Linked DNA regions of Anolis sagrei. The protein of the gene in region 4 purifies or fractionates together with the protein of the main gene of each other region. This does not show direct contact. Links are inferred from orthologs where the notes say so. Each region holds a gene or a part of one and is shown on either strand. Other genes may lie near its edges. The genes, in order: LATS2, ANAPC7, ANAPC2 and ANAPC1.

Evidence for each region.
Region 1: the proteins of ANAPC1 (region 4) and LATS2 purify together in Homo sapiens (affinity purification with mass spectrometry; 3 studies listed by BioGRID and IntAct, with this or other methods). This does not show direct contact. The link is inferred for Anolis sagrei from reciprocal best matches to the Homo sapiens genes ANAPC1 and LATS2.
Region 2: the proteins of ANAPC1 (region 4) and ANAPC7 fractionate together in Homo sapiens (co-fractionation; 6 studies listed by BioGRID and IntAct, with this or other methods). This does not show direct contact. The link is inferred for Anolis sagrei from reciprocal best matches to the Homo sapiens genes ANAPC1 and ANAPC7.
Region 3: the proteins of ANAPC1 (region 4) and ANAPC2 fractionate together in Homo sapiens (co-fractionation; 8 studies listed by BioGRID and IntAct, with this or other methods). This does not show direct contact. The link is inferred for Anolis sagrei from reciprocal best matches to the Homo sapiens genes ANAPC1 and ANAPC2.

What each region holds. Positions count from the first base shown.
Region 1 is NC_090023.1:28,496,223-28,504,120, forward strand, and holds the start of LATS2 (serine/threonine-protein kinase LATS2), read right to left. Parts: upstream 3,018-7,898; 5' UTR 2,758-3,017; intron 1-2,757. UniProt on the Homo sapiens protein: Negative regulator of YAP1 in the Hippo signaling pathway that plays a pivotal role in organ size control and tumor suppression by restricting proliferation and promoting apoptosis.
Region 2 is NC_090034.1:42,384,102-42,391,872, forward strand, and holds the start of ANAPC7 (anaphase-promoting complex subunit 7), read left to right. Parts: upstream 1-4,759; 5' UTR 4,760-4,888; coding exon 4,889-4,989; intron 4,990-7,771. UniProt on the Homo sapiens protein: Component of the anaphase promoting complex/cyclosome (APC/C), a cell cycle-regulated E3 ubiquitin ligase that controls progression through mitosis and the G1 phase of the cell cycle.
Region 3 is NC_090031.1:15,871,966-15,879,228, forward strand, and holds the start of ANAPC2 (anaphase-promoting complex subunit 2), read right to left. Parts: upstream 3,015-7,263; 5' UTR 2,997-3,014; coding exon 2,931-2,996; intron 1,024-2,930; coding exon 380-1,023; intron 1-379. Other genes in the region: microtubule nucleation factor SSNA1, read left to right, coding at 3,120-3,171, 6,309-6,508, 7,049-7,159. UniProt on the Homo sapiens protein: Together with the RING-H2 protein ANAPC11, constitutes the catalytic component of the anaphase promoting complex/cyclosome (APC/C), a cell cycle-regulated E3 ubiquitin ligase that controls progression through mitosis and the G1 phase of the cell cycle.
Region 4 is NC_090021.1:24,115,020-24,122,842, forward strand, and holds the start of ANAPC1 (anaphase-promoting complex subunit 1), read right to left. Parts: upstream 3,017-7,823; 5' UTR 2,845-3,016; intron 694-2,844; 5' UTR 670-693; coding exon 457-669; intron 1-456. UniProt on the Homo sapiens protein: Component of the anaphase promoting complex/cyclosome (APC/C), a cell cycle-regulated E3 ubiquitin ligase that controls progression through mitosis and the G1 phase of the cell cycle.

The DNA.
Region 1 (7,898 bases), on a different chromosome or scaffold from region 4:
CTCTCATTCAAATCTAAAACAGTACTATTTTTGGCAAAAAAAATATTTTGAAACTTTTTTTGTATTTGACTTTAATGTGGGGGTGGGAGAGAGACTAGTAGTTTTCAGAAATTTGAGGAAGACGTTGATAAATAAAAATTGAGAAGGAACTTCTATGCAGGCCTGTAGCGAGAGGGTGGTTTTAGGGGTTCAACCCCCCCCCCCGAAATGTTTCAGATTTTTTTTAAAAAAACTGGTTTACTCATGAATTTTAACTGGTTAACCAAATCCCCATGCTAAGTCTATGAGATGCAAAAAAATCAAGAGTCCCTCCAGAAATGTAAGCACTATCTCAAGCAAATATTGACAATTTATTCATTATTATTATTACTTGCAGCAATAGCCGATGTAGTGAAGCAACCAAGTTGGGGGCCAGACTTGGTGGAGGTGGTTGACAGGGGTGGAGCTGCAGGCTATTGAAGGTTGCTCTGCCCCCTGCTGTGCTCTTTGCTTCAGCGTGAGCTAGGAAGCAGATTTCAACCCCACCCACCCCCAAAATTTTCAACCCTCCCCAAAATTTTCACACACACCCCCCCCCCCCCAAATTTTCAACCCTCCCCGAAATTTTTTTCTGGCTACGGCCCTGCTTCTATGAATGCCATGTGATGATAGTACTGGGAAAACATGAATAGTAATATCTTATTTATTCTGTTCCAAGATGTCATTGAATCTAAGATCCACCAAATTTTTCAATATATTGATTTTAGTAAAGGTAAAGGTTCCCCATCACCTTTAAGTCTAGTCGTGACCGACTCTGGGGGGTGATGCTCATCTCTGTTTCTAAGCTAGAGAGCTGGCATTGTTCCTAGACATCTCCAAGGACATGTGGCTGGCATGACCGCATGGAGCACTGTTACCTTCCCGCAGAAGTGGTACCTATTGATCTACTCACATTTGCATGTTTTCGAACTGCTAGGTTGGCAGAAGCTGAGGCTAACAGTGGGAGTTCACCCCCTCCCTGGATTTGAACTGTGAACCTTTCGGTCAGTAAATTCAGCAGCTCAGCGGTTTAACCAACTGCGCAAATTGTATTATTACTATTATATTGTATTATAATATTATGATCAGTATTACATGTACATTCAATATATAGCATAGCACAATATTAGTATTATATATTCCTATTTATATTCCACTATTCCTATATATTCCACTATACTGCAATATTATTAGTAATATTACATGTATTATATAGTACAGAATTATTATATTGTATTATTAGTTTATTGCATTATATTACAATATTATGATCAATATTATATATACTTAAAATACATTATATTATTAGCATTGTACAATGTTAGTATTATATATTCCTATATTGTACTATACCACTATACTGCAATATTATTAGTAATATTACATGTAATATTTAATATACAATTAGTATATTGTAATATTATTAGCATTACATTGTATTACATTATAATAGTATTATCAACATTATATATTACATGTAATATATAATTATTGTTTTATTATATTGTATTCTTTAGGATTATATTGTATTACAATATTATGATCCATATTATATGTACATACAGGATATTATTTTATTAGCATAGTACAATATTAGTATTATATATTCCTATATTTTACTATACACTATACTGCAATGTTATTAGTAATATTACATGGACTATATAATATACAATTATTATAGTGTAATATATAATTATTACATTATTATTATATTGTATTCTTTAAGATTATATTGTATTACAATATTATGCTCAATATTATACGTACATACAATATATTATATTATCAGCATAGTACAATATTAGTATTATATATTACTATACCACTATGTTGCAATATTATTATTAATATTACATATAAAATACGATTATCATATTGTATTATTAGCTTAGTACAATATTAGTATTTTGTATTACTATACTGCAATACTATTAGTAATATTACATGTAATATATAAAATACTATTACCATTTTGCATTATTAGTATTATATTGCAATATATTGCAATATTATTATCAATAATAAGTATTCCTACCGGCTGTTAGGAATTGTGGGAGTTGTAGTCCAAAACACCTGGAGGGCCCAAGTTTGCCCATGTATGTTCTGGAGCATCTACACTGCAGAATTAGTGCAGTCTAACACCACTTGGAATGCATTGTTAGGGAGAATTGGTTGGGAACCCCAAGGGCCATCCAGTCCAACCCCATTCTGCCATATAAGACTACACAACCCAAACACTCCATTCTGCCATGAAAAAACACACACAACCCAAGCACTCCCAACAGATGGCCATCCAGCTGCTGAATAAAACCCTCGAGGAGTTAAAGAAGGAGGCTCCACCATGATGATGATTCCACCCCATTCTGCCATGCAGGAATACACAACCAAAGCCCTCCCGACAGATGGCCATCCAGTTGCTGAATTAAAGCTTCAAGGAGTTAAAGAAGGAGGCTCCACCATGATGATGATTCCAACCCCATTCTGCCATGCAGGCATACACAACCAAAGCCCTCCCAACAGATGACCATCCAGCCTTCCACTCCTCCCTCCCAACTTCCAAGAAGGAGCCATTGCAATGCCCGGGGTTTCTCCTTCTCATACTTCCAAGTTGAGTAACTTTTGCACGACAGCTTCCCCGGACTTGTTGCTCCGAAGCAAGGAAGGAAAAGCAAGAAGGGCTTTGGGAGAAGGAAGGAGGAGGAAGGCGCCCAGCCCCACCCCTCCTGCGCTCCTTACCTCCAAAAGGGAAGCTTGCTTGCTTGCTTTCTTTCTTTCCTGGGGGAAAAAGGATCAAGGGGAAACTTCCACCACTCTGGGAACAGCTTGGCTTCTGCTTCGGAAGGCGCCCCGCAAATCATCATATTCGTATTGCTGCCTCTGCTGCTGCTGCTGCTTCTCCATTCTTCTCGCCTCCCTCCGCCTCGCGCCCAGAAATGCGGCAGCAGCCCCGCACAGTTGGGACATTCGCTACATTGTTAGCATTCCTTTCGCCCCCACGTGACCCCCGGGGCCCCGGCGTCATTCCACCGCCCGCCCTTCGCATACCAGCCAGGAGGCGGGGCCCCAGCTGCCCATCAAGGGCTCCGACTGGGCGGGGCTTCGAGTTAGGGCGTTCTGTCCCCGCCCAGCAAGAGTTCCAAAGAGGCGGGGATTTGACTTAGAAGCTCTGTCTCCGCCCATCAAGGGCTCCGAATGGGCGGGGCTTGGAGTTAGGCGTTCTGTCTCCGCCCATTAAGGGCTTGGAATGGGCGGGGTTTGGACTTAGAACCTCTGTCTCCGCTCACTAAGGGCTTGGAATGGGCGGGGCTTCGAGTTAGGGCGTTCTGTCTCCGCCCATCAAGAGCTCCAAATAGGCGGGGCTTCGGCTTAGAAGCTCTGTCTCCGCTCATCAAGGGTGGAATGGGCGGGGCTTGAAGTTGAGCGTTCTGTCTCCGCCCATCAAGGGCTTGGAATGGGCGGGGCTTAGGATTAGGAACTCTGTCTCCGCTCATCAAGGGGTTGAATGCTGGTTACTTCTGGAACCAAAGCTCAAGCAGGGAGCTTTGAGATGGTTGAACAGAAGCTCTCCGAAGCTCTAGGTGCTCTTACTGCCTATTACAGGGGAAACCAGCTGATCCCCAACCCATCTAAAACACAGACATGTGCCTTTCATCTCAAGAACAGACAAGCATCCCGAGCTCTGAAGATCACCTGGGAAGGAATCCCACTGGAGCATTGCAGCACACCCAAATACCTGGGAGTCACTCTGGACTGTGCTCTTACCTATAAGAAGCACGGCCTGAACATCAAGCAAAAAGTGGGTGCGAGAAACAATATCATAGGAAAGCTGACTGGCACAACCTGGGGATCACAACCAGATACGGTGAAGACATCTGCCCTTGCGCTATGCTACTCTGCTGCTGAGTATGCATGTCCAGTATGGAACACATCTCACCACACTGAAACAGTGGCTGTGGCTCTTAATGAGACATGCCGCATTATCACGGGGTGTCTGCGCCCTACACCACTGGAGAAATTACACTGCTTAGCTGGTATTGCATCACCTGACATCCGCCGGGAAGTAGCAGCCAATAGTGAAAGGACCAAGGCAGAGACATCTCCAGCTCATCTCCTGTTTGGGTATCAGCCACCACGCCAACGACTTAAATCAAGACATAGTTTTCTTAGATCTACAGAGACACTCGCTGGAACACCTCAGCAAGCGAGAGTCCAAAAGTGGCAGGCCCAAACCCAGCACCTCAATTCATGGGTGATACCAGATGAGAGACTCCCCCCTGGGCACACAGAAGACTGGGCGACTTGGAAGGCGCTGAACAGGCTGCTCTGGCACCACGAGATGCAGAGCCAATCTTAAGAAATGGGGCTACAAAGTGGAATCCTCGGCATGGGAGTGCGGAGAAGAACAAACCACTGACCACCTGCTGCAATGCACCCTGAGCCCTGACACATGCACCATGGAGGACCTTCTTGCAGCAACACCAGAAGCACTCCAAGTGGCCAGATACTGGTCAAAGGACATTTGATCAACTACCAAACTCACAAATTTTGTATTTTCTCTGTTTGTTTGCTTTGTTCTGTTGGAAATGTAATATAATTGACTGGCTGCCCTGACACGAGAAATAAATAAATAAGGGCTCCGAATGGGCGGGGCTTGGAGTTAGGGTTCTGTCTCCGCCCATTGAGGGCTTGGAATGGGCGGGGTTTGGACTTAGACGCTCTGTCTCTGCTCATCAAGGAGTAGAATGGGCGGGGCTTGAAGTTGGGCGTTCTGTCTCCGCCCATCAAGGGCTTGGAATGGGCGGGGCTTAGGCTTAGGAACTCTTTCTCCGTTCATCAAGGGGTGGAATGGGCGGGGCTTGAAGATGTCTCTGTCCATCAAGAGCTCCAAATAGGCGGGGCTTGGAGTTGGGCGTTTTGGCTGCGCCCATCAAGGGCTCGGAATGGGCGGGGCTTGGAGTTAGGCTTTCTGTCTCCGCCCATCAAGAGCTCCAAATAGGCGGGGCTTGGGTTTAGAAGTTCTGTCTCCGCTCAATAAGGCCTTGGAATGGGCGGGGCTTGGACTCAGAAGCTCTGTCTCCGCCAATCAAGGGCTCGAAATAGGGATGGCTTGGAGTTAGGCCTCTCAAGGGCTTGGAATGGGCGGGGCCTAGAGTTAGGCGTTCTGTCTCCGCCCATCAAGAGCTCCAAATAGGCGGGGCTTAGAGTTAGGCTTCTGTCTCCGCCCATTAAGGGCTTTGAGTAGGAGCCCCCGGTGGCGCAGTGGGTTAAAGCACGGTGCCGGCAGGACTGCAGACCGATAGGTCGCAGGTTCGAATCCGGGGAGAGGCGGATGAGCTCTCCCTCTATCAGCTCCAGCTCCTCATGCGGGGACATGAGAGAAGCCTCCCACAAGGATAATAAAACATCAAAAATCATCCAGGCCAATTCTCTCACAACAACAACAAAAAAGGGGCTTTGAGTGGGCGGGGCTTGAAGTTAAACGTTCTGTCTCCGCCCATCAAGTGGTTGGAATGGGCGGGGCCTAGAGTTAGGCGCACTTTCTCCGCCCCCTCCTCTTGTCTTCCTTGATATCAAGAACATAGATACCTCTGAGTTGCTGTGAGTTTTCCGGTCTGTACGGCCGTATTCCAGAAGCATTTTCTCCTGAAGTTTTGCCCACATCTATGGCAGGCATCCTCAGGGGTTGTGAGGTCTGTTTGAAACTAGGCAAGTGAGGTTTATATATCTGTGGAATGTCCAGGGTGGGAGAAAGAACTCTGGTCTGCTTGAGGCAAGTGTGAATGTTTCAATTGGCCACTTTCATTGTCATTGAATGGCCTTGCAGCTTCAAAGCCTGGCTGCTTCCTGCCGGGGGGGGGAATACTTCGTTGGGAGTTGTTAGCTGGACCTGATTGTATCCTGTCTGGAATTCCCCTGTTTATTAAGAGTTGTTCTTTATTTACTGTCCTGATTTTAGTGTTTCTAAAATACTAGTTGCCAGATTTTGTTCATTTTCATTGTTTCCTCCTTTCTGTTGAAATTGTCCAATGAAATTGGCTACCAGTATTTTAAAAACTCTAAAATCAGGACAGTAAATAAAGAGTAACACTAAAAAAAGAGGAATTCCAGACAAGAATCAATCAAGGCCCGCTAACACTGCCCAACAAAGGATTCCCACAGGCAGGAAGAAGCCAGGCTTGGAGCGGCTTAAGGAGGTGGGCATGTTTAGCCTGAAGAAGAGAAGGCTGAGAGGAGATATGATAGCCATGTATAAATATGTGAGAGGAAGCCACAGGGAGGAGGGAGCAAGCTTGTTTTCCGCTTCCCTGGAGACTAGGACGCGGAACAATGGCTTCAAACTACAAGAAAGGAGATTCCATCTGAACTTTAGGAAGAACTTCCTGACTGTGAGAGCCGTTCAGCAGTGGAACTCTCTGCCCCGGAGTGTGGTGGAGGCTCCTTCTTTGGAAGCTTTTAAGCAGAGGCTGGATGGCCATCTGTCAGGGGTGATTTGAATGCAATATTCCTGCTTCTTGGCAGGGGGTTGGACTGGATGGCCCATGAGGTCTCTTCCAACTCTTTGATTCTATGATTCTATGAAACTGCAAGGCCATTAAATGCTAATCAAGGTGGCCAATTGCAACATTCACACTTGCCTCAAACAGACACGAGTTCTTTCTCCCATGACAGGTGAAGTGGTCTCGAACTACATTTGTCCTATAATGTACATGCACCCAAAGCCCAACTTTTGTCCACTGCAGCTGAGCTGAGGTATTCCTGTCATGGAACCCAGCCTTTTGTTTATCTTGATCTCTGATTCTGGCACTTTGGCTTCCCTTTTCGCTGATAAGACAGAGAAATAACCCACAATTTTGGTATTCCTTGTTAATGGCAATAGTTTGTTGCTGGTACATTGATATTAAATTATACAGATTGGAGAGTTTGGACCTGTTGCAACAAGTCCTAGAATGGGATATAACTGTTTGCTCAATTTAATTCTGAACCCAAAGACCTGCTGTTTATTAATCTCAGTGTAATTAAACACACGGATCAGTACTGCAGCTTCTCTCTGTATGTGGTAACATATATTTCAAATCGCTGCATTCCATAGGGAAAAAAGGGGGTTGCACAAACTGAATATGTTTGGTATTTTCACCGTGCTGCCAGTTACTCGATTCAGAATTGAAGGAGACACCATCTTCTAAATCATTAGGACCTCAGGAAAAAAATTCAGGGCTGAAAGAATGTTGTGGGGCAAAGCAATGCCTTTCACAACCACGGTGGTCCGCGCTCTTGTTACATCCCGAATGTTGTGGGGCAAAGCAATGCCTTTCACAACCACGGTGGTCCGCGCTCTTGTTACATCCCGAATGTTGTGGGGCAAAGCAATGCCTTTCACAACCACGGTGGTCCGTGCTCTTGTTACATCCCGAATGTTGTGGGGCAAAGCAATGCCTTTCACAACCACGGTGGTCCATGTCAGTGGCATCGGCAGCACAGCAAAGCAGGAACAGATCAATCACAGCCACCTTATGCTATAAACTTCTTTATTTTACAGCTATATACATTAGAAGCTACTTAACACTCAGCACATTGTAAACTTGCTTCTTTACTGTCCCATCGTAACATTGTGAACACACAAACTGTTATCAGTACTAGTCCACACCTCTTGCATTCCAGAGTGACGTATGACATACGATGCACAACGCTGCATCCTTTTGTTCTATACGCTTGATTTATGACCTTTCTAGGAATGCCATTCCCTCCATGGTTCAGTTAACTCTTTCCACACAGGAATATATCATACTCGGCACATAGCTACTGCATTTTAAAAATACATACATACATAATTTGAAATCTTCATTATAAATTGCAAACAGCTTCAACAGTCCATGCTA
Region 2 (7,771 bases), on a different chromosome or scaffold from region 4:
CGGTTTCTAGGTGGAAGGTGGTCCCGGTCGGGGTTGGCTTGACTCGCCTTCCTCTTGGCACATTTCTCTTTCGCCCTCCATTCATGCCTCTTCAAACTCTACAGCACTGCTGGTCACAGCTGACCTCCAGCAGGAGTGCTCAAGGGCCAGGGCTTCCCAGTTCTCAGTATCTATGCCAGAGTTTTTAAGGTTGGCTTTCAGCCCATCTTTAAATCTCATTTCCTGCCCACCAACATTCCGCTTTCCGTTCTTGAGTTCGGAATAGAACAATTGCTTTGGGAGACAGTGGTCGGGCATCCAGACAACGTGGCCGGTCCAGTGGAGTTGATGGTGGAGGACCATCGCTTCAATGCAGGTGGTCTTTGCTTCTTCCAGCATGCTGACATTTGTCCACTTATCTTCACAAGAGATTTGCAGGATTTTTCAGTGGCAACGCTGATGGAATCATTCTAGGAGGTGCATGTGATGTCTGTAGACAGTCCATGTCTCACAGGCGTATAGCAGGGTTGGGAGGACAATAGCTTTATAAACAAAGTGCTCTTCCAGCAGTCACCGGCCAATCCCTCTCCAATGCCAGAAATACAGCTTAATGGTGTAACATTAGAGTTGACCATTTCTGCTACTTGGCAGCCACCTCTCCACAAAAGTCAACACTGACACCGAAATACAACACCGCCTGAGCTCTGTGAGTGCAGCATTTTTCCAAATGAAGCAGAGAGTGTTTGAGAACCGGGACATCCGTAGGGATACCAAGGTGCTAAAGGTCTTAAGCCTTCCCTATCAAGCTACCTCTGCCATGGTCTCATAGCATTGAGGCCCTTCCCACACAGCTGAGTAATACCTCACATTATCTGAGTGTGGGCTCAGATAACCCAGTTCAGAACAGATATTGTTGGATTTTCTGCCAGATATTCTGGGTTACATGGCTGTGTGGAAGGGAACAGTTAAAACTCGTGCGCCAACTGCGCCCGTACCTTGGGAAGTCTGACTTGGCCACGGTAGTCCATGCTCTGGTTACATCCCGTTTAGACTACTGCAACGCTCTCTATGTGGGGTTGCCTTTGAAGACGGCCCGGAAGCTCCAGTTAGTCCAACGCTCGGCAGCCATGATACTAACTGGAGCGGAGCGCAGGGAGCATACAACTCCTCTGCTGCACCAGCTCCACTGGCTGCCGATTTGCTACCGGGCTCAATTCAAAGTGCTGCCGTTGGCCTTTAAAGCCCTAAACGGTTCTGGCCCAACTTACCTATCCGAACGTATCTCGGCCTATCAGCCCACCAGGACCCTAAGATCTTCTGGGGGGGGGGCTGCTCTCTATCCCGCCTGCTTCACAGGTGCGGCTGGCGGGGACGAGGGACAGGGCCTTTTCTGTGGTGGCCCCGCGGCTATGGAACGCCCTCCCCATGGAGGTAAGATCAGCCCCCTCATTGATGGTTTTCCGGAAAAGACTAAAAACCTGGATGTTCGAGCAGACGTTCGGTTAACTCAGTGCAATAAGTGTAATTGATTGAAGGACTGGCAATTTGGACGACGAAACTGGATCGCGATTTTAGTCAAGAGATGAATTGGATTGTTTATTGATATATGTACTGTGGATTGTGTTTTTATGTTTTTAAACTGTATACTGTTGTTTGTTATAAGTTGTTGTAAACCGCGTTGAGTCGCCGGCTAGGCTGAGAAACGGCGGTATACAAATATAGCAAATAAATAAATAAATAAACTGAGTCAGGGCAGTTAAAGTGGTGTTAAAATGCATTCATTCTACAGTGTAGATGCTATGACTCTGGAGAAGAGGGTTCAAATCCCCACACAATAGGTGACTCACACTCTCTCAGCCTCTACGGATTATTTATTTATTTACTCTACTTATATACCGCTGTTCTCAGCCCGAAGGCGACTCACAGCGGTTCACAACAAACAAGAACAGCAGAAATTCAATGCTCCAATATAAAAACAATTAACAACCTAACACATTACACACTTAGAAAACAATTACTACAATAACCATTCACTAGCGTCTCATCACTAAAGGACAGGATCCAGAATCGTCATCCATTGTTCCATTCCTATGTCATTACAGTTCATTGCACTAATTCTTCGAACGCCTACTCAAACAACCAGGTCTTCACTTTTTTGCGGAAAACTATTAGAGATGGTGCTAGTCTAATGTCTGTGGGAAGGGTGTTCCACAGCCGAGGAGCCACCACCGAGAAGGCCCTATCTCTCGTCCCCGCCAGCCGTGCTTGTGAAGCAGGCGGGATCGAGAGCAGGGCCTCCCCGGAAGATCTCAAAGTCCTGGTGGGTTCATAGGCCGAGATGCGGTCGGATAGGTAACTTGGGCCGGAACCGTTTAAGGCTTTATAGGCCAACGCCAGCACCTTGAATTGAGCCCGGTAGCAGATCGGTAGCCAGTGGAGCTGGTACAACAGGGGGGTTGTGTGCTCCCTGTGTTCCGCTCCTGTTAAAATCATGGCTGCCACACGTTGGACTAGTTGAAGCTTCCGAGCCGTCTTCAAGGGCAACCCCATGTAGAGAGTGTTGCAGTAGTCTAGACGGGATGTAACCAGAGCGTGGGCTACCGTGGCCAAGTCAGACTTCCCAAGGTACAGGCGCAGCTGGCACACAAGTTTTAACTGTGCAAATGTTCCCCTGGTCACCGCCGAAGCTTGGGGTTCCAGGCTCAGCGATGAGTCCAGGATCACACCCAAGCTGCGAACCTGTGTCTTCAGGGGGAGTGCGACCCCATCCAACACAGGCCATAACCCTATGCCCTGTTCAGCCTTGCGACTGACCAGGAGTACCTCTATCTTGTCTGGATTCAATTTCAATTTGTTCGCCCTCATCCAGACCGTTACAGCGGCCAGACACCGGTTCAGGACCTCGACAGCCTCCTTAGTAGCAGGTGGGAAGGAGTTACAAAGTTGGACATCATCTGCGTACAGATGACACCGTACCCCGAAACTACGGATGATCTCTCCCAGCGGCTTCATGTAGATGTTAAACAGCATGGGAGACAGTATTGAACCCTGTGGAACCCCACAAGACAACGGTTGTGGGGTTGACCAGGTGTCTCCCAATAACACCTTCTGGGATCGGCCCTCTAGGAATGACCGGAGTCACTGTAACACAGTACCTCCAAGTTCCATCCCCGCGAGGCGTTCCAGAAGGATACCGTGGTTGACGGTATCGAAGGCCGCTGAGAGGTCCAGCAGCACCAACAGGGACACACTCCCCCTGTCGAGCTCCCGGCGTAGATCATCCACTAAAGCGACCAAAACTGTCTCAGTTCCATGTCCCGGTCTGAAACCAGACTGTGCCGAATCCAGATAATCTGTGTCTACCAAGAATACCTGGAGTTGTGAGGCCACCACGCATTCCAGGACTTTGCCCAAAAAGGGGAGATTGGACACTGGCTGAAAGTTGTCAAATTTAGGGGGGGTCCAGTGATGGTTTTTTCAACAGCGGTTTTATTATAGCTTGTTTTAAGCTCGCTGGAATATTGCCTTCCCGAAGGGAGGCATTAACCACCACCTCAACCCACTCAGCCAATCCCCCTCTGGCCTCCTTTAGAAGCCAGGATGGGCAGGGGTCCAGGATGGACGTGGTAGGCCTCATTCTTCCAAGTATCTTGTCCACATCCTCGGGTTTCACCAATTGAAAAGAATTACTGTTATGCCTTCTGGCCCTAAGGATATAGGCCAGTGTTTCTCAACCTGGGGGTTGGGACCCCGGAGGGGTCGCAAGGGGGTGTCAGAGGAGTCGCCAAAGACCATAGGAAAACACAGTATTTTCTCTTGGTCATGGGGGTTCTGTGTGGGAAGTTTGGCTCAATTTTATCATTGGTGGGATTCAAGGGGCTTTTTGATTGTAGGTGAACTATAAATCCCAGAAACTATAACTCCCAAAGATCAAGGTATAATTTCCGCAAACTCCACCAGTGTTCACATTTGGGCATATTGAGTATTAGTGCCAAGTTTGGTCCAGATCCATCATTATTTGAATCCACAGTACTCTCTGGATGTAGGTGAACTACAACTCCCAAAACTCAAGATCAATATCCACCAAACCTTCCAATATTTTCTGTTGGTCATGGGAGTTCTGTGTGTCAAGTCTGGTTCAATTCCATCATTGGTGGAGTTCAGAATGCTCTTTGACTGTAGATGAACTATAAATCCCAGCAACTACATCTCCCAAATGACAAAATCAACCCCCCCCCCCCCCAACCCCACTGGTATTCAAATTTGGGCGTATTGGGTATTTGTGCCTAATTTAGCCTAGTGTATAAAATACATCCTGCATATCAGATATTTACATTATGATTCATAACAGTAGGCAAATTCCAGTTATGAAGTAGCAACGGGAAAAAAGTGTTTGGGGTTCACCACAACATGAGGAACTGTATGAAGGGGTCACGGCATTAGGAAGGTTGAGAAACACTGAGAGAGGCTTTTCTCCGAAAAAGGACACAAGCAGCCTTCCGTGCCTCGCCGCGCATGCTCAACACCTCCCTCGCTCGTCTCTCGCTTCCATAGTCACGACTCGGGAAAGGTGTCTACAGCAGTGCCTGGTTTTGTTTTATTTTAAAAATCACCCCTTTGCAAAGGACTTTTTAATTTTTTTAAAAAAGGAGGAAAGTTATAGTTAGCTGAAGTAGGAGAGTAACCCCGCAATGCGTAGAATGGAAGTTCCCCCTGAGGCTGACAGGCGAACGCCGGGGGCAGCCTTTCCTCGGTGAGGGTTGTTGTGGAAGTGTCAGGGCGGCTTTTTCGGCGAGGACCCTTCGGGGAGGCGCCATTTTAGACTTGCTGAGAGGACTCTGTCCGTTACGGCCGACTTGAAGTACGCTGTTTTTTCGTTCCCGTCCCTCTGTCGAGTCTTTCCGAGGCCATGAGCGTGGTGGACCATGTTCGGGAGATGGCAGCGGCGGGGCTGCACTCCAACGTGAGGCTCCTGAGCGGCCTCCTCCTTACGATGAGCGGCAACAACCCGTGAGTGAGGCGCTGGAGGCCGACACGGGAGGCTTGGTGGCCTCCGACCCGCTTTCAACCCAAAGGAGAGTTGGTGGAGAAGCCTTGCAGGCACACTGAGGACCCTTCCACACAGCTGAATCAAATCCCACATTTGAACTGGAATATATGGCTGTGTAGACTCAGATAACCCAGTTCAAAGCAGATATTGTGGGATTTTCTGCCTTGAGATTCTGAGTTACATGGCTGTGTGGAAGGGCCCTGAGTTATATGGCTGTGTGGAAGGGCCTTCCAGGCAGGCCCATTATCCCAGGATCTAATCCCAGGTTTTCTGTTTATAATAATAATAAATAATAATAAACTTTATTTGTACCCTGCCACCAACCTGTGTTGGACGGGGTTACACTCCCCCTGAAGCCACAGGTCCGCAGTTTGGGAGTCCTCTTGGATTCATCGCTAATGCTTGAGGCTCAGGTGTCGGCGGTGTCCGGGAGGGCTTTCGCACAATTGAGACTCGTGCGCCAACTGCGACCGTACCTTGCGAAGGCTGATCTGGCCGGGGTGGTCCATGCCTTGGTCACCTCCAGATTGGACTACTGCAATGCGCTCTATGTGGGGCTGCCCTTGAAAACAGCTCGGAAGTTCCAACTGGTCCAACGGGCAGCAGCCAAGATGTTAACTGGCGCTCCTTACAGAGAGAGGTCAACCCTCCTGTTCAAGGAGCTCCACTGGCTGCCGTTTATTTTCTGAGCCCAATTTAAGGTGCAGGTGCTTACCTACAAAGCCCTGAACGGTTTGGGACCATCCTACCTGCGTGACCACATCTCCGTCTACGAACCCACGCGTTCACTGTGGTCATCTGGAGAGGCCCTGCTCGTGATTCCGCCTGCGTCGCAAGCACGTTTGGTGGGGACATGAGACAGGGCCTTTTCTGTGGTGGCCCCCCGACTCTGGAACACCCTCCCCAAAGATCTTAGACAGGCCCCTACATTGGCAGTCTTCAGAAAGAACTTGAAGACCTGGCTGTTCTGATGTGCCTTCCCAGATTAGGAAATCTCCAATACCAAGTCCCATAAGCACTTTATTAGAACCAAGATTGTTGCACATCGCACTCTGCACTTGCCCTATAAGCCTTATATACCACCTGTCACATCAGCACTTTCAATCTTGTACCCATTACTCTGGCCCGGCCCAGTTCTATTGTGTCTTAATATATTGTTGATTGCTTATTGTTTATATTGCCTTAATTGTTTTTAATTTGCCTTAGGTTTTGTATTGTTATATTGTGTGTTGAGGCCTTGGCCTTTGTAAGCCGCATCGAGTCCTTCGGGAGATGCTAGCGGGGTACAAATAAAGTTTAATAATAATAATAATAATAATAATCTCCCCAATGGGGACTCGAAGCGGCTTACATGAGGCCAAACCCGAACAACAAATTACAATAAAATAAAACGCAAATGGTAAAAGCAACATTGTAATAAAATAAAACATGTAAATACGTAACAATAATAATATAAAGTTACAATAGACGCAATCACAATGACAGTGGGCGGGCTGCATGTAATGATTAAAAGAGACTAATTAAAACTAATTTAAAACTCTGGTGAGATAAAAAGAGACAGATTATTTGTGGAGGAGAACTCATTATAGCAGAGTTGTGGAATCAAGCTTTCCCACAGAGGGGGGACGACATATACTCCAATGACATTTATCATTTATTCCAGATTATCTGGCAGTGCGGACTCATATAATCCAGTTCAAAGCAGAAAACCTGGGATCAGATCCTGGGATAAAGGGCCTGTCTGAGGGTCCTTCCACATAGCCCTATATCCCAGAATAACAAGGCAGAAATCCCATAATATCTGCTTTGAACTGGGTTATCTGAGTCCACACTCAGATAATGTGGGATTTCCTGCCTTGATATTTTGGGATATAGGTCTGTGTGGAAGGGCCCCAGAATATCAAGGCAGAAAATCCCACAATATCTTCTTTGAACTCTAATATCTGAGTCCACACTGCTATATATTCCAGTTCAAAGCAGATAACTTGGGATTTTATTCACATCTGTGGAAGGGGCCTCATAGAATCCAGTGCAAAGCGGATGTGAATCATCAGCTTCAATAATCTGGATTATATGGAAGTGTAGAAGGTGCCTCAAAGTGGTTTGCATTAAACACATTTCAACAATAATAATAAATAAATAAATAAACAAACATTATTTTTAGACCGCCCTATCTCCCCCGGGGAACTCGGGGCAGTTTACACATACAAAGGGAAACATTCAATGCCCGACATATACCAAAATATTACAGCAATAAAACATAATACAGAATAACAACAACATTATACTAATCAAATAAAATTAAATATCAAGATATCAACATAGAACAACTAATCACTAAACAAATACATTTAAAAGCATGATCAACAGTAAAACATCTAACGTAGTCAGCGCCGTTAAAAATTGGGTAAGCATTGGCTGTTAGTTGTTCTTAACTGTACCATAATGGCCATGAAGTACAGATTGGACAGCCTGCAATAGAATTTCAAAGCAGCAAATATACAGACATTACAACAGAATTCAATGTCATGGGTATTTTTAAATGCAGTGAAAATCCATAAAATATGATAGCGGCAAATAGAAGCAGTGTGATATCTTACCAATAACTGCTTTGGTTTTCTTTAAAAAATATGGGTATTTTAGGCCTCTTCTACACTTCCATATAATCCAGATAATCAAAGCAGGAAATCCACATGATCTGCTTTGAACTGGATTCTGTGAGTGTACACTGTCATATAATCC
Region 3 (7,263 bases), on a different chromosome or scaffold from region 4:
GACAACTACAACCTTCTGGTGACAATCAGAAATGGAAAGGAAGAAGGAACGGGTGTAGAACACAGAAGTCTACAAGCAAAGAGAACTGGACATACAGGCTGGGAATTATGGTTAATATTCCTTCCATTTGATGCTTGGGGAGACTAGTTGTTGCTCTTGGATCCTTTATCAAGCATACCTTCCCCTTCTGGCGACTTTCAGACATGTCAGAAAACAGCTCCCCCATTTTCTTAACAATTATCCACCAACTAGGAAAGCTGAAGGAAAGAGCAGCATGGAGGTCAAATCTCACAAGAGGACCCCCAGGCCCCCTTTCATCCCTAAGTCCCCTTCACTCCATCATCAGACCCCCCTCCCAAAAGCAGACAATTGTACTTACAGAATACTGTTGAGTTGCTGGAAGTGCTCCACAGCTGTTACGCACCAGCAGCGCTCCCTCTGACACCCGCACCCGGCGCACTGGCTTCCTTTTCTGGCAGGCTCTCCCAAGATCTCCTCCTCCTCCTCACTTTCTGCCTGGTGGTCCTCACTCATGCCGCTCTCCCCCTCGGACATCCTGGGCTCCCGACTCCTCTTCCGCCACATGTAAATCTTGAAGCTGCGGCCATAGAACTGCCGAACCATCTCCCCGAAGCTATGAGGGGTGCTGAAGAAGAGGACGGCCCGAAGCAGGCTGTGTACCTTGGCCCTGAGCGGCTGGGCGCCCGTCCCGAGGAGCAAGCCCTCCTGTGTCCAGCCCTCCATCATGGTCAGGCTGCGCAGGTAGGGTTCCAGCCGGCGCCAGAGGAGGGAAAAAGCATCCAGGATCAGGAGGGAGCACTGAGCCTCTTCGGCCGTGTTCTCGTGCTGGGACACGCCGCTCCAAAACTCGGGGGAGATGCGCGCCTGCAGATCCATCTGCAGTACCTCCAGGAACCACTCCTCCAGCGCTGAATGCAGGCCATGGGCCTTCAGCACCTCTACCGCTGCGTGAAGGTCCCGCTCCGATGGGATGTCTGCCGGCTCCGACTCTGGCACCAGCGCCTGGGAAACCACAAGAGGCAGACTTAATGGAGAAAGCTTTGAAGACTGAGCCAGAGGTGCAAGGCATGAGGCGTCCCTTGCTATCTCTTTTAGCCATTCTATGTTGTTGTAGGTTTTAAAGGGTCATTTGTATTGTTTATAGCCTTTTGAGTCACTTTGAGGCCCCTTTCATTCATACAGCCAAATGAAATCCCACATTATCTGTTTTGAACTGGGATATATGTCAGTGTGGATTCTGATGTTTCAGCTCAAATCAGATATGTCATCAGTTGGGAACCCCTCCCCCAGCACTAACTGCTGCTCTGGACCAGAGTGAAGAGAGATGGGACCAGGGGACAGTTCCATCTTGTCTCCTGCATATGTCATCAGTTGGGGATCCCCCCCCCCCCCCCGCAACAACTGCTGCTCTGGGCCATAGTGAAGGGGGGGGGGCATGGGACAGTTCCATCTTGTCTCCTGTGCTATGCTAATAATATAAAATAGTATAATATAATATAATATATTGTATATACATATAATATTTATAATATTATAATGTAATGCAATATAATACTACCACTAATAATAATATAATATTATAAATATAAATATATATTTATATTATATGTAATATTACTAATAATATTACAATATAATGGTATAGTACAATAAAGTAATATTTAATACTGATATTATACTATGCTAATAATATAATATATTGTATGTAACTTGTAAGTCGCTCTGAGTCCCCTTCGGGATGAGAAGGACAGCATTAAAATGCCATAAATAAATAAATAAATAAATAAATATTCTGCCTTGATATTCTGGATTATATGACTGTGTGGAAAGGCCCTGAGTCTTGTTAAGAGAAGAAAGCGGGACGTATAACATTATTAACAACTACAACAATAACAACAGCACATGCCCCGTCAGAGACAGAAAGTTCACAAAGGAGTGGGAAGAAGAAAGGACAGCTACAGCCCATGTTGGTGCAGCAGATGGGCTGCACTGCTGAACTTGCTGACCGAAAAGTGGTTCGAATAGCGAGGTGAGCTCCGCTGTTAGCTCTAGCTTCTGCTAACCTAGCAGTTAGAAAATATGCAAATGTGAGTAGATCAATAGGTACCGCTTCAGCAGTCATGCTGACCACACGATCTGGGAGGCATCTACAGACAACGCCAGTTCTTTGGTTTAGAAACTGAGATGAGCACCACTCCCCAGAATCGGACATGACTAGACTTAACGCCAAGGGGAAACGTTTACCTTTACTTTATACATACATATAGACAAACAAACACACATATATGTCTTGTTATACATACACACACCCATATATATCAGTGGTTCCCAACCTTTTCTTGACCAGAGACTACTTTGGCCAGGTAGCACTCTCCAACATTAGTACCAAAAGGGTTACGAATCAGTTTTTGGTCAATTTTAGATTCAGTTTGGTTATCTGGGGTGCTGAATCAGAAAATTGTATTGGATAGACCACATCAGCTCTAGTTTCTGATACAGAACATACGGCATCCAGTAGTCGCCATCTGCTCGCTCACATATTTAAACCATATTTAACTAGCCTCGGAACTATTAGAGGGTTTTGCGAGACCAGTTGCTCCCGTTGCAACAGTGTAGTAATGGTGAGGCTGTGGACCATATTTTAGGTCTTGCGGACCACTAGTGGTCCACGGACCACAGGTTGGGAACCACTGCTATACATGACCCATGAGATGTCTTCCAACTCTATGATTCTATATAATAATAAATACAATATAATGTATTATATACCACACAATAAAACATAACATAATATATTCCATACTATAGAACAGGCATGGGCAAACTTGAGCCCATGCCTGCCCGACCCTTCACGTGTCACCTGAGGCCAGTTCACACGTGACCCCCGCTCCCCCCGTGGCTGCTCGTACCAGGCCCAGGGCGGCGGGCGGGACCAGGCCCGTGCTGAGGGCGCGCCAGGCGGCGGGAAAGGCCATCCCGGCGGAGGCGGAGGAGGCGGGCTCCGTTCTGAGGCGGCGGCCGTTGAGCGGAGAAGAGGAGGCGGAGCTCTCCGCGGCGGGAGGGAGGAAGGAAGGAAGGCGAGCCCGCGGAGACGGAGGATGACCCAGCAAGGGGCCGCCCTGCAGAGCTACAACAACGAGCTGGTCAAATGTGCGTCGCTCAGGCTTCGGCCGGAAGTGTAGGCCTCGCGTTGCTATGGAGACGCGGCCTACTGTGGCCGGCGTCGCAGAGAGACCTTTGGGGCCTTTTCGGGTCGGGGCTCGGAGTCAGAAAGCGGGGACACGTGGGGAGAAAAGGGAAGGAGAGGGGTTTGGGGTGCCTCCGCACTATTAAGGGGTGAAAACGCTTCAACTGTGGCGTCCCTTCTCCCGCGTGGGCTCCTGGGAAATGTAGTTTGGGGCCTAGAACAGCGCGAACACTTTGTTTATCCAGTGACGTCATGACCCCGCCTTCCTTTCGCCTCCAATAGAAATTCGAGGCGGGTGGCACAACACAGGGCAAAGGCAGATAGATAGATTTCATTAGATAGATAAATTAAATTGATTGATAGATGGATTAGATAAATAGAGTGATAGAGTAGATTAGATAGATAGATTAGAGAAACAGATTAGATAAATTAGACAGATTTGATTGATTGATTGATTGATTGATTGATCGATCGATCCATGGATTAGATAGATAAAATGATAGGTAGATTGATAGATTGATCAGATAGATAGATAGACAGAGAGATAGATAGATTAGAGAGATAGATTACATAAATTAGACAGATTAGTTTAATCAATAGATGGATTAAATAGATAGAATGATAGGTAGGTAGATAGATTAGTTTGATAGATTGGATAGATAGATCAAAGAGACAGATTAGATAAATTAGACAGATTAGATTGATTGATAGATGGATTAGATAGAATGATCAATAGATTAGATTGATAGATCAGTTAGAGAGATTTTTTAGATACATTAGACAAATTAGATTGATTGATGGATTAGGTAGATAGATTAGATTGATAAAACTAGATAGCTAGATCAGATAGACAGATTAGATAAATTAGACAGATTAGTGTCATTGATAGATGGATTAGATAGATAGAATGATAGGTAGGTAGGTAGATAGATTAGATTGGATAGATAGATCAGATAGACCAGAAAGATAGAGAGATAGATTAGATAAATTAGATGGATAGATAGATTAGATTGATAGATTAGATAGCTAGATCAGATAGATAGACAGATTAATTAGACAGATTAGTGTCATTGATTGATGTAGATAGATAGAATGATAGGTAGGTAGGTAGATTAGATTGATAGATTGGATAGATAGATCAGATAGACCAGAAAGATAGAGCGATAGATAAATTAGATGGATAGATAGAATAATAGATAGATTAGATTGATTGATAGATAGATTAGATAGATCAGATAGATTAGAGAGATAGATTAGATAAATTAGACAGATTGGTTGATTGATTGATTAGTTGGATTGATAGATGGATTAGCTAGAGGAGATGATTAGATAGATGAGATTGATTTATTAGATAGATGAATTGATAGATACATAGATGATAGGTTGATTGATTAGATATATAATAACAACAATAATAATCTTTATTTATATCCCACCCCATCTCCCCAAAAGAATTCGGGTTATCTTACAGCATAAATAAATACAATAAGTAATATATACAAAATAAATAACAAATCAGCGAAAAAGGGAAAACAAAAAAAATAGACAAATTAAACAATAAACCGTAAAAAAATAAATTAAAACACAGTGGTTCCAATAAGTTAAATACAAGCCAAAATATCCTAATCAGCATATATCCATAACACTAAAACAAAGACCTCGTCCACTTTATTTATTTTTTACGACATTTATATGCCGCCCTTCTCACCCAGAAGGGGACTCAGAGCGGCTTACAAGATATATATACATACAATATATTATATTATTAGCATAGTACAATATCAGTATTATATATTACTATATTGTACTATACCATTATATTGCAATATTATTATTAATATTACATGTAATATAAAACATATAATTTTAATATTGTATTATTAGTAGTAGTATTATATTGTATTACATTGTAATATTATAAATATATGTATATACTATTATATTATATTATACCTATTATTAGTATAGCCTGGAGACAAGGTGGAACTGCCTTCCTGCCCCCCCCCCTTCCACTGGCCCAGAGCAGCAGTTAATTAAAAGGTATTAACCTAATCATTTTCAAAGTCCTTCTTTCAAAGTCCTCCGAACATATTCCCCCCTACGAACCATCAAGATTACTAAGATCGTCTGGAGGGGCCCTGCTCTCGGCCCCACCGGCCTCACAAGCACGGCTGGTGGGAACGAGGGCCTTCTCGGTAGTGGCCCCGCGACTCTGGAACTCTCTCCCGCCAGAGGTTAGAACCGCCCCAACAATCCTGACATTCAGGAAACAGGCGAAGTCGTGGTTATGGAGACAGGCTTTCGAAGAATGAGACAATGATCTGGATGGAAGACGGTGTATATTCGATTTTAGTATGACGACTGACCACTGTAGTTTTAAATATATGTGCTTTTTAAATGTTTTATTGTAATGTGTATTTTGATATTTTACCGATTGTATGTGTTTTTATGGTTGGAAACCGGGCTGAGTCCCTCTTATGAGGTGAGAAGCTCGGTATATAAAACTTTGAAATAAATAAATAATAAATAATTCTTAAAAGTCGTGAGAGTGGCTGCTTGTCTGATCTCCTTGGGGAGAGCACTCCAGAGCCGGAGCGGGGCTCTGTTGAGAGGGCCTTTTCCCTCGTTCCCACCAACCTCACTTGCGACGGGGATGGGATCGAGAGGAGGCCCCCCTCCAGCTTATCTTAAAGCCCAAACGGGTTCATAAAGGGGGATGCGGACATGTAAATAGGGACAACTCAAACCGAAAATTGAGAAACAATTACACGCAAAATATGAAAATTAGAGGAACCAAAGGGTGGGGGGACAGCTTGGAAAGGCACTTCCATGCAGTGTGGACACAACCTTCTTTTGAAGCATCACCTACGGCAGCAGGAAGGATTCACTGTCGGTTTCCCATCCAAGTCCAACCAGGGTGGACCCTGCTTAGCTCCCAAGAGCAATGGGATCTGGTGCCTTTGGGTGTATTTCAGGGCCTTGGCCTTCTCCAAGTGGCCCCTGATTGAGACAAAGGGGCTGGAGTCCCTTAAATGGGCCCATTGGCCATAGTTTGGAGACCCCTGACCTATGCTTTTGCCCTTTCCTTCCATCCTTCTAGGCATCGAGGACCTGTGCCTGAAGCGGGAGGAGCTGTCCAAGCAGATACGTCAGGAGGAGGAGGAGAAGGGCAGGCTCCAGGGCGAGATCCGCACCCTGACCGAGCGCCTGGCCCGCGTCAACGAGAACCTGGCCCGCAAGATGGCCTCCCGCAACGAGTTCGATAAGACCATCGCCGAGACTGAAGCCGCCTACATGAAGGTGCGGGGAATGAGGGGGATGGGGGCTTCTGCTAGGGATCTACACTGCTATATAATCCAGTTTCTGAATTCAGATTATCTAGTTTGAGCTGGGTTATATGAGGCTGTACTGTTGGAAATAGCAACCTATCAATCATCTATCTATCTATCTATCTATCTGATATATCTTATCTATCTAATAAATCAATCTTATCTATCTAATTATCAATCTATCTAATCCATCTATCAATCTATCTAATCCATCTATCAATCTATCTAATCCATCTATCAATCAAATTGTCTAATTTATCTAATCAATCTGATCAATCTATCTGATCTATCTATCTATCTTATCTATCATTCTATCCATCTATCAATCAATCTAATATGTCTAATTTATTAATTTATGTATGTAATTGCTTATTGCATTGTGTATTGGTTTGCAGTTTTCTTTAACTCTTTGTTGTGGGAGGGGCTGCAGACTAAGACTCCATTTTAGATGTTTGTCTAGCCGTAGCCCAAAAAAACAGACATAAAAATGCAATCCTTTCCTGCTTCCCAGATCCTGGAAAGTTCCCAGACGTTGCTCAGTGTCCTGCGGAAGGAGGCAGGGAACCTCAGCCGTGCCACGGGAGCCACGGAATCCAAACCCCCCGCAGCGAAGGACAACTGAAGGGTTGGTCTCCAATCCCTCTGACTCTGGGCTCTTCTCGGGGAGGTGTTTCATAGGCAAAGTAATGTATAATAAAGAGGATTTTGTTTTCCGAAGGCTCCCGT
Region 4 (7,823 bases):
CAAGGGAATTTCCCACAATCTGTAATGGACTTCTAAGGAAGGCTACGCTGGCTTTTCCTTGGTTTCCCTTTGCAGACAGATTAATTGTTTTTATTTATTTACTGTAAGGTTTTAACCAAGTTTACTTGGGAGCTGCCTTGGGAGCCATGCCAGAAGAAAAGAGACATATAAGTAATAAATATATAATGATGGAAGACAAGGCTTCAAGTGTTGCTCATCTACAGCTTTATTCCAGGTAAAATACATGTTTTTCACATTTCACTGAGTTTTCATTAAGCAAAGGGATCCACATGCGTGGCATATTTATGAGTTAGTATTTAGGTTAACAGATCATTATGTTTCCCTGCCTTTTCCTTTGCAGCTTTGTATTGCTTTCCTCTGTTCTTTGCTTATCTTTTTTTTTTTTTTTTTTGGTGTAAGTTATACATTTGTATTTTCAAAAGTGCCACTTCCTACCTTGTGTTTCTCATGGATTGTAACTTCCTGAAGCGACCCCACCAAACCAGCTGCTCCATCTGACGACCAAATTTCCGAGGCTGGCTGCAGCTGCCGAAGTTGCAGGTTCAACGCATTAGGATGGTGCTTGCAGTGGTCACGGCCAAAAGGGACAAACTCCTGCAAATCCCCTGCTGCAATCATCATTACCCTCTCTTCATAGATGTTCGACATGAGTTCCAAATATCAACATTATTTCTGAAAAAAGACCAAAATGCAGACAGAAGGTGTTCAACAGTGAAACCATTTTCAGAATGGCAGCATGACCTAAATACCCTATGACACCAGATCCTATCTGAACTTGGAAGGTAAGTAATGTCAGTTCTGATTATTATTTGGAAAACCACTGGCTGTATGTAGGCTATATTTCAGAGGAAAGAAGTACAAATCTACCACCAAGTTTCCCAAGCAATGAAATTCATAAGGTCACCATAACTTGACAGTTGACATATAAATGCAGTCATATTAAGTTATTGTACCACCTAAGAGACAAATAAATTTTACAAATTGTATGCATTTGCTGACTATGCCCACTTTCTTCTACTGCATCTAAAGAAGCAGGCTGCAATCTATGAAAACTTACATCAGATAAAAGTTGCTAATGTTTAAGTTGCCACAATACTTTTGCTCAACATATACACTATGTAATACAAATTTTGTTCCTAGGTTATAATTGTCATTTCCTAATTGGTTCTATCATTAAAAGATGGAAAACAGTTATCAAACTGCAAAAACTTTGTTTTTGCGGGATATCCTGCAACACATTTTGCTCTAGTTTTTCAATGAATATTTTATATCAACCAATTCAACATAGTTTGTGGCAATCACAGAAACAAAGTTTCTGAAGTAGAATAACTACTTTCAAAGTAAGTATTGCACAATTAAACAGGAAATAACACTTTCAAACCAGGAAGATTTTTTTTTCAAATTTTGTTACATAGTATTATCTTCAATTCTGGAGCCCCTGGTGACGCAGTGGGTTAAAACCTTGTGTCGGCAGGACTGAAGACCGACAGGTCGCAGGTTCGAATCCGGGGAGAGGCGGATGAGCTCCCTCTATCAGCTCCACCTCCTCATGCGGGGACATGAGAGAAGCCTCCCACAAGGATGATAAAAACATTAAAATCATCTGGGCGTCCCCTGGGCAACGTCCTTGCAGACGGCCAATTCTCTCACACCAGAAACGACTTGCAGTTTCTTAAGTCGCTCCTGACACAACCAAAAAAATCTTCAATTCTACTACTCCCTTTTCTTTCAGTGCTCTAAAATTAAGGCACCCAGACCACTCAATAGGTGTAAAATGGATTCAGCTAAGATCTGCTACAACCAAACCAAAGGAGTTACACAACAAACAGCCAAGCATAGTGCTTAAGGTGAATGAAGTAATGTTAGAGTTATTTACTGTTAAATAATAAACAACGGCTTACAAAGATGGTAAATGGAATAGAAATGTTTCCTCTTCCCCTTTCTGGCGAACTACCTTGCCACGACTCTGACACAGCTCCGCTGTGCTGTCTTGCACACGTGTTCCCCTCATTAATTCAGACCAGTGTTGTGCAACCAGCGTAGGATCCCAGCTACCATACTTTTGCCAGGGCTTGTTCTCCAGACCCTTGATCATTTTAGACACATTCCAGTGTCAACATCTCCCTCCAATTGTGATGCCCGGAATTGGACACAGTATTCCAGGTGTGGTATAACCAAGGCAAAACAGAGAGGTAGCATGACTTCGCTGGATCTAGGCACTAGATTCCTATTTATGCAGGTCAAAATCCCATTGACTTTTTTTGCTGCTGCATGGCATTGTTGGCTCATGTTGAACTTGCTGTCCACGAGGACTCCAAGATCTTTCTCACACGTACAGTGTTCTCTCGCTACTTCGCGCTTTTAGCAGACTCGCTGTTTCGCGGTTTTCAAAAATTATTAATTTAAAATATATATTGCTGTATTTTTGGTGTTTTGCTTTCGCTCCTCAGTCCTCCCTCCAGCCTTGAAGGGCCTTTTCTTCCTTTCCTTCACTTTAAGTTTATAAAGACTTAGAATAGTGTATAACTACTAAAATAATGTATAAATATTAAATTAAATAGATAGAGCATCCCTACATCGCAGTTTTTCAATTATTGCGGGAGGTCCTGGAACCTAACCCCAGCAATAAGCCAGGCATCCCCCATTCTGGGATGCTGGGATTTGTAGTAGCCAAAGAGTGTGGGTGCCCCACCAAGCTACAAATCCCAGGGTTCAAGTTGTCTCAAGCTGCATTAACTCTTCGACTGAATGAAGGGGAGAGAAGGCGGGAAGCATGGCTGCTGCTGAAAGGGCCCAGGACGAGGGCAACGGAGGCTCGCCCACCTGAGTGACACAGGAAAGGGCGGCGGGCGGCGGGCCTGGGCTCCAGCGGCTCCTCCCCCGTCTCTCCCCGGACAGCAACAACAAGCGAAGTCCTCTCGGCGGCACTACACTCTCCCCTCAGCTTCTCACACGGGCGCCGCCATCTTGCAACTCCCATCACCACCCGCGACAAGGCCGGAGGCGGGGCTAACGGATGTCAGTAAAACGGCGCCTTTGAGGCTTCCCAAGTCAGGCAGGAAGGATGGAGGGAAGCAGAAGAGGGAGACCTCCGTTCTACTGTTCCCATGGCAACAGGCGGCTGGCCTAGGCCCAGCTGCTGTTACTATAGCAACCAGGATACCCTTGTATTCCTTGGCCTTGCTTCTCATTGGGATGCTTGATTTATTTATCCTTGGTGAAAACCTTTTATGGCCCCATCTACACTGCCATATAATCCACTTTTCTGAATCCAGATTGTCTGCTTTGACAATCTGGATCTGCTGTGTTGAGGTTTCAGGCAAGGAAGGGGCAAATACTGGCTAGGCCAGGCCTGGGCAAACTTGGGCCCTCCAGTTGTTTTTATTTATTTATTTATTTTGGTTACTTCTACCCCGCCCTTCTCAACCCAGAGGCGGCTTACAAAGGCACGATTCGATGCCGGCATCAACATAACAGTAGAATAAAAACAATATAGCAGCAATTAAACAATTCACAATCAGTTTCTGCACTGCAACAATAAAACCAATAAAATCGATTTCACCTAATTAACACTCAGCCTTCGCCATCTCATAGTCCAAATACCAATTCCACTTTGTCAGTCCTGCCAGTCCTAGTCGTCTAATTGTCTTTATCTAGTTGTCAGATTGCCCGAAGGCCTGGTCCCACAACCATGTTTTTAATTTCCTCCTGAAGGAGAGGAGGGAGTGAGTTCCATAGGTGGGGGGGCACCACTGAGAAGGCCCTGCTCCTCGTCCCCCACCACCGTCACTTGTGATAGCGGTGGGGTCGAGAGCAGGGCCTCCCCAGATGATCTCAAACTCCGAGGTGGGACGTAGAGGGAGATGCGTTAGGACAGATAACGCTGGACCGGAACCGTGTAGGGTTTTGTAGATCAAAACCACCACCTTGAATTGGACACCAACTCCCACCATTCCTAACAGCCTCATACAGGCATGTAGCCGGGGGGGGGGGGCTTGGGGGGCTTCAGCCCCCCCCCCCCCCAATTTTCATGGTGGTCTGCAAAAAGGCCTTACTGGTACATTATTTAAACTGTTATGTTTATTCATATCATGATCTGATCACCATGCTCAATATATCTCATATGCATGGGGGTATTGGGGTAACAATACAAAAGGTTTGCTAGAGTAGACCCTCTTTCACTCAGACTCAGACTCCTTTCTTGTAGTTTGAAGCCATTTCCCCCCTCAAGCAGCTGAGTGGGAAAAGGAAAGGGCCTGAGGTTGTTAGGAATGGTGGGAGTTGGAAACAAAACATCTGAAAGGCCAAAGTTTGCCCAGACCTGGCCTAACCTAATATTTGGTAGATTCCGAGCACAATATTTGCTAGCTTCCGAGCACAATTCAAAGTGTTGGCTTTGGCCTATAAAGCCCTGAACATATCTCCCACTAAGATCCACCTACGACCCTAAGATCATCCGGGGAGACCCTTCTCATTGTCCCCCCATCATCACAATTGCGTTTGGTGGGGACAAGGGACAGGGCCTTTTCTGTGGTGGCCCCTTGGCTGTGGAACTCCCTTCCAAGCAAAATTAGATCAGCTCCATCCCTCCTGACCTTTCAGAAACAAGTGACATCCTGGCTATAGGATCAGGCCTTTGCAGATTAGGTTGACCGGCTGGCAAAGTGATGGCTTTAATGGACTTAATGGACTGCTTTTAGGGCAATGACTTAAATCGGCGACTGACTGTTTGAATGTTTTTATACTGTTTTTATATTGGTTTTATTTAAATTGTATATTTTTGCTTTTGGTTTTGGTTGTGGACACCATGGTGTGTTGGTTGTTAGCCGCCCTGAGTCCCTCTGCGGAGGTCGAGATACAACGGGATAGAAATGTCCTAAATAAATACAACAAAGATCCGCCTAATTGGCAACAAAGATCCGCCTAGTCAAAGCCATGGTATTCCCTGTAGTCACCTACGGATGTGAGAGCTGGACCTTAGGGAAGACTGAGCGAAGGAAGATCGATGCTTTTGAGCTGTGGTGTTGGAGGAAAGTGCTGAGAGTGCCTTGGACTGCGAGAAGATCCAACCAGTCCATCCTCCAGGAAATAAAGCCCGACTGCTCACTGGAGGGAAAGATACTAGAGACAAAGTTGAAGTACTTTGGCCACATCATGAGGAGACAGGAAAGCCTAGAGAAGACAATTATGCTGGGGAAAGTGGAAGGCAAAAGGAAGAGGGGCCGACCAAGGGCAAGATGGATGGATGGCATCCTTGAAGTGACTGGACTGACCTTGAGGGAGCTGGGGGTGGTAACGGCCGACAGGGAGCTCTGGCGTAGGCTGGTCCATGCGGTCACGAAGAGTCGGAGACGACTGAACGAATGAACAACAACAACAAATAAATAAATCCATTTGAATCTAACACAACTAACTGGACATGCTGCATAAAGTCTACCATATCACCCGGAACTATGGTTTTATAAAAACTATGCAGACCCTCCTAGAAAACTGCAGCTTCTATATGGAGTTTCAGGGCAGGAAAAGTAGGTGGAAGAGGCAAAAAGAAAAAAAAGGTTTACCTCGAGGCAGCCTTCTTGCACCAGCCTTGTTTAACATCTTTACTAAGGATCAGCCACAACCACCACTCACAAAGAGCTTTATAAACGCTGATGACCTTGGCCTAACAACATAAGCAAAAGTCAACAAGCAATTTACTAATCCCCTGAAAGATCTCTCCAGCTACTACAAAGATAACAGAGCTCCCCATGGCGCAATGGGTTAAACTCTTGTGACGGCAGGACTGAAAACCAACAGGTCGAAGGTTCAAATCTAGGGAAAGCATTTATTTATTTATTTATTTCTGGTACTTTTACCCCGCCCTTCTCAACCCCCGGAGGGGGACTCAGGGCGGCTTACAAAGAAGGCAGAATTCGATGCCTTTATACACTACACATAGTATACAAAAATATACAAAAATAAATATACAGAAATATAATTAAAACGATCATCACAGTTAAAACATCAGCAACCGGTGCCCAACATATTATATAAAATATCATATAAAAACATTCTTATAATCAGCGTTTCGTTTCCAGAGTTCCTCGTGTCCAGTCCATTAGTCATTTCCTAGCCATCCATAAAGTTCTCTCTCTATCTGCCCGCCTGACCAAATGCCTGGTCCCAGATCCATGTTTTTAGTTTTTTCCTAAAAGAAAGGAGCGATGTTGCAGATCTAATTTCCCCGGGGAGTGAGTTCCACAGGTGGGGGGCCACCACCGAAAAGGCCCTGCTTCTCGTCCCCGCCAATCTCACCTGTGATAGAGGCGGGGTCGAGAGCAGGACCTCTCCAGAAGATCTTAGACTCCGGGGTGGGACATAGAGGGAGATCCGTTCGGACAGATACACTGGGCCAGAAGCATGGATGAGCTCCCTCTGTCAGCTCCAGCTCCCCATACAGGGACATGAGAGAAGCCTCCGACAAGGATGGTAAAACATCAAAACATCCAGGCGTCCCCTGGGCAACATCCTTGCAGATGGCCAATTCTCTCACACCAGAAGCAACTTGCAGTTTCTCAAGTCGCTCTTGACATGAAAAAAAAACAAAAACAAAAACAAAGATAACCACCTGAAGCCTAACTCTGCCAAGATACAAGTGTGTGCTTTCCACCTAGATAACCATGAAGCCAATAGAAAATTGAAAATTACCTGGGAAGGCCAAGGGCTTGAACACTGTTCTCACCCTAAATATCTCAACATGCACTATGGTATGACTGCCTAATTAGTCACACATGCGACAACTTGTGGCCAACGACTGTATTACAGTGAAAAGAATCCTTATTTTCAGTAGTGCATGCTGAATTAAATGATGTGCCAATAATACATGACTCCTGAAAAGCTTTCTAAAACGTTTAAAGAGGTTTCCGACACTTGCTGGAAATGTAAACAACAAGTGGGGTCTTTCTACCATATGTGGTGGACATGTAAATTGCCAAGAAATACTGGATTCAGTCCATAAGTTGATCCAGAAATTTTTTGGGAAAAATATCCAGGTAAAACCAGATACTTCTTTACTTGGATTGAATGATACAAATTACTATAGTAGATTGTTTCAATATATGATCACAGCAGCCAGATTACTATATGGGCAGAAATGGAAGAACTCAGCACCAACAATAGAAGACTAGATGATAAAAATTATGGACTTGGTGAGGTAGATAAATTAAGCTGCTTATTAAAAAACAAGGAACATTGGAAAAAATGTTGCATGACTGGGAACCTTTTATTGAATTTTGGCATGAAGATGGAAAGGATTGTAAGATTTGAAAACCAAATTGAAAAGGATTTTTGCCCAAGAAAAAATAATACTAAGAAACTTGGAGAGTTATGGGTTGTTGTGTGTTTTCTGGGCTGTATGGCCATGTTTCAGAAGCATTCTCTCCTGACATTTTGCCTGCATCTGTGGCAGGCATCCTCAGAGGTTGTGAGGTTTATCGTCTGGTCTTCTGATCTCTGCTGCTGAATTCTTCCATTTCTGTGCATATAGTAATCTAGCTGCTGTGATCATACATTGATACAATCTCAGAGATCAGACCTCACAACTTCTGAGGATGCCTGCCATAGATACAAGAGAAACATCAGGAGATAATGCTCCTGGAACATGGCCATACAGCCATAACACACAAGAACCCGGTAATTCCATGCATGAAAGCCTTTGGCAATACATTGGAAGGTGATGCCTATGTTATTCTTTGTAGTTGAATGAAGATAAGTCAGAAGTCAAGATTTTCTTCTTTTTTCTTTTTCTATTCTTTCTTTTCTAT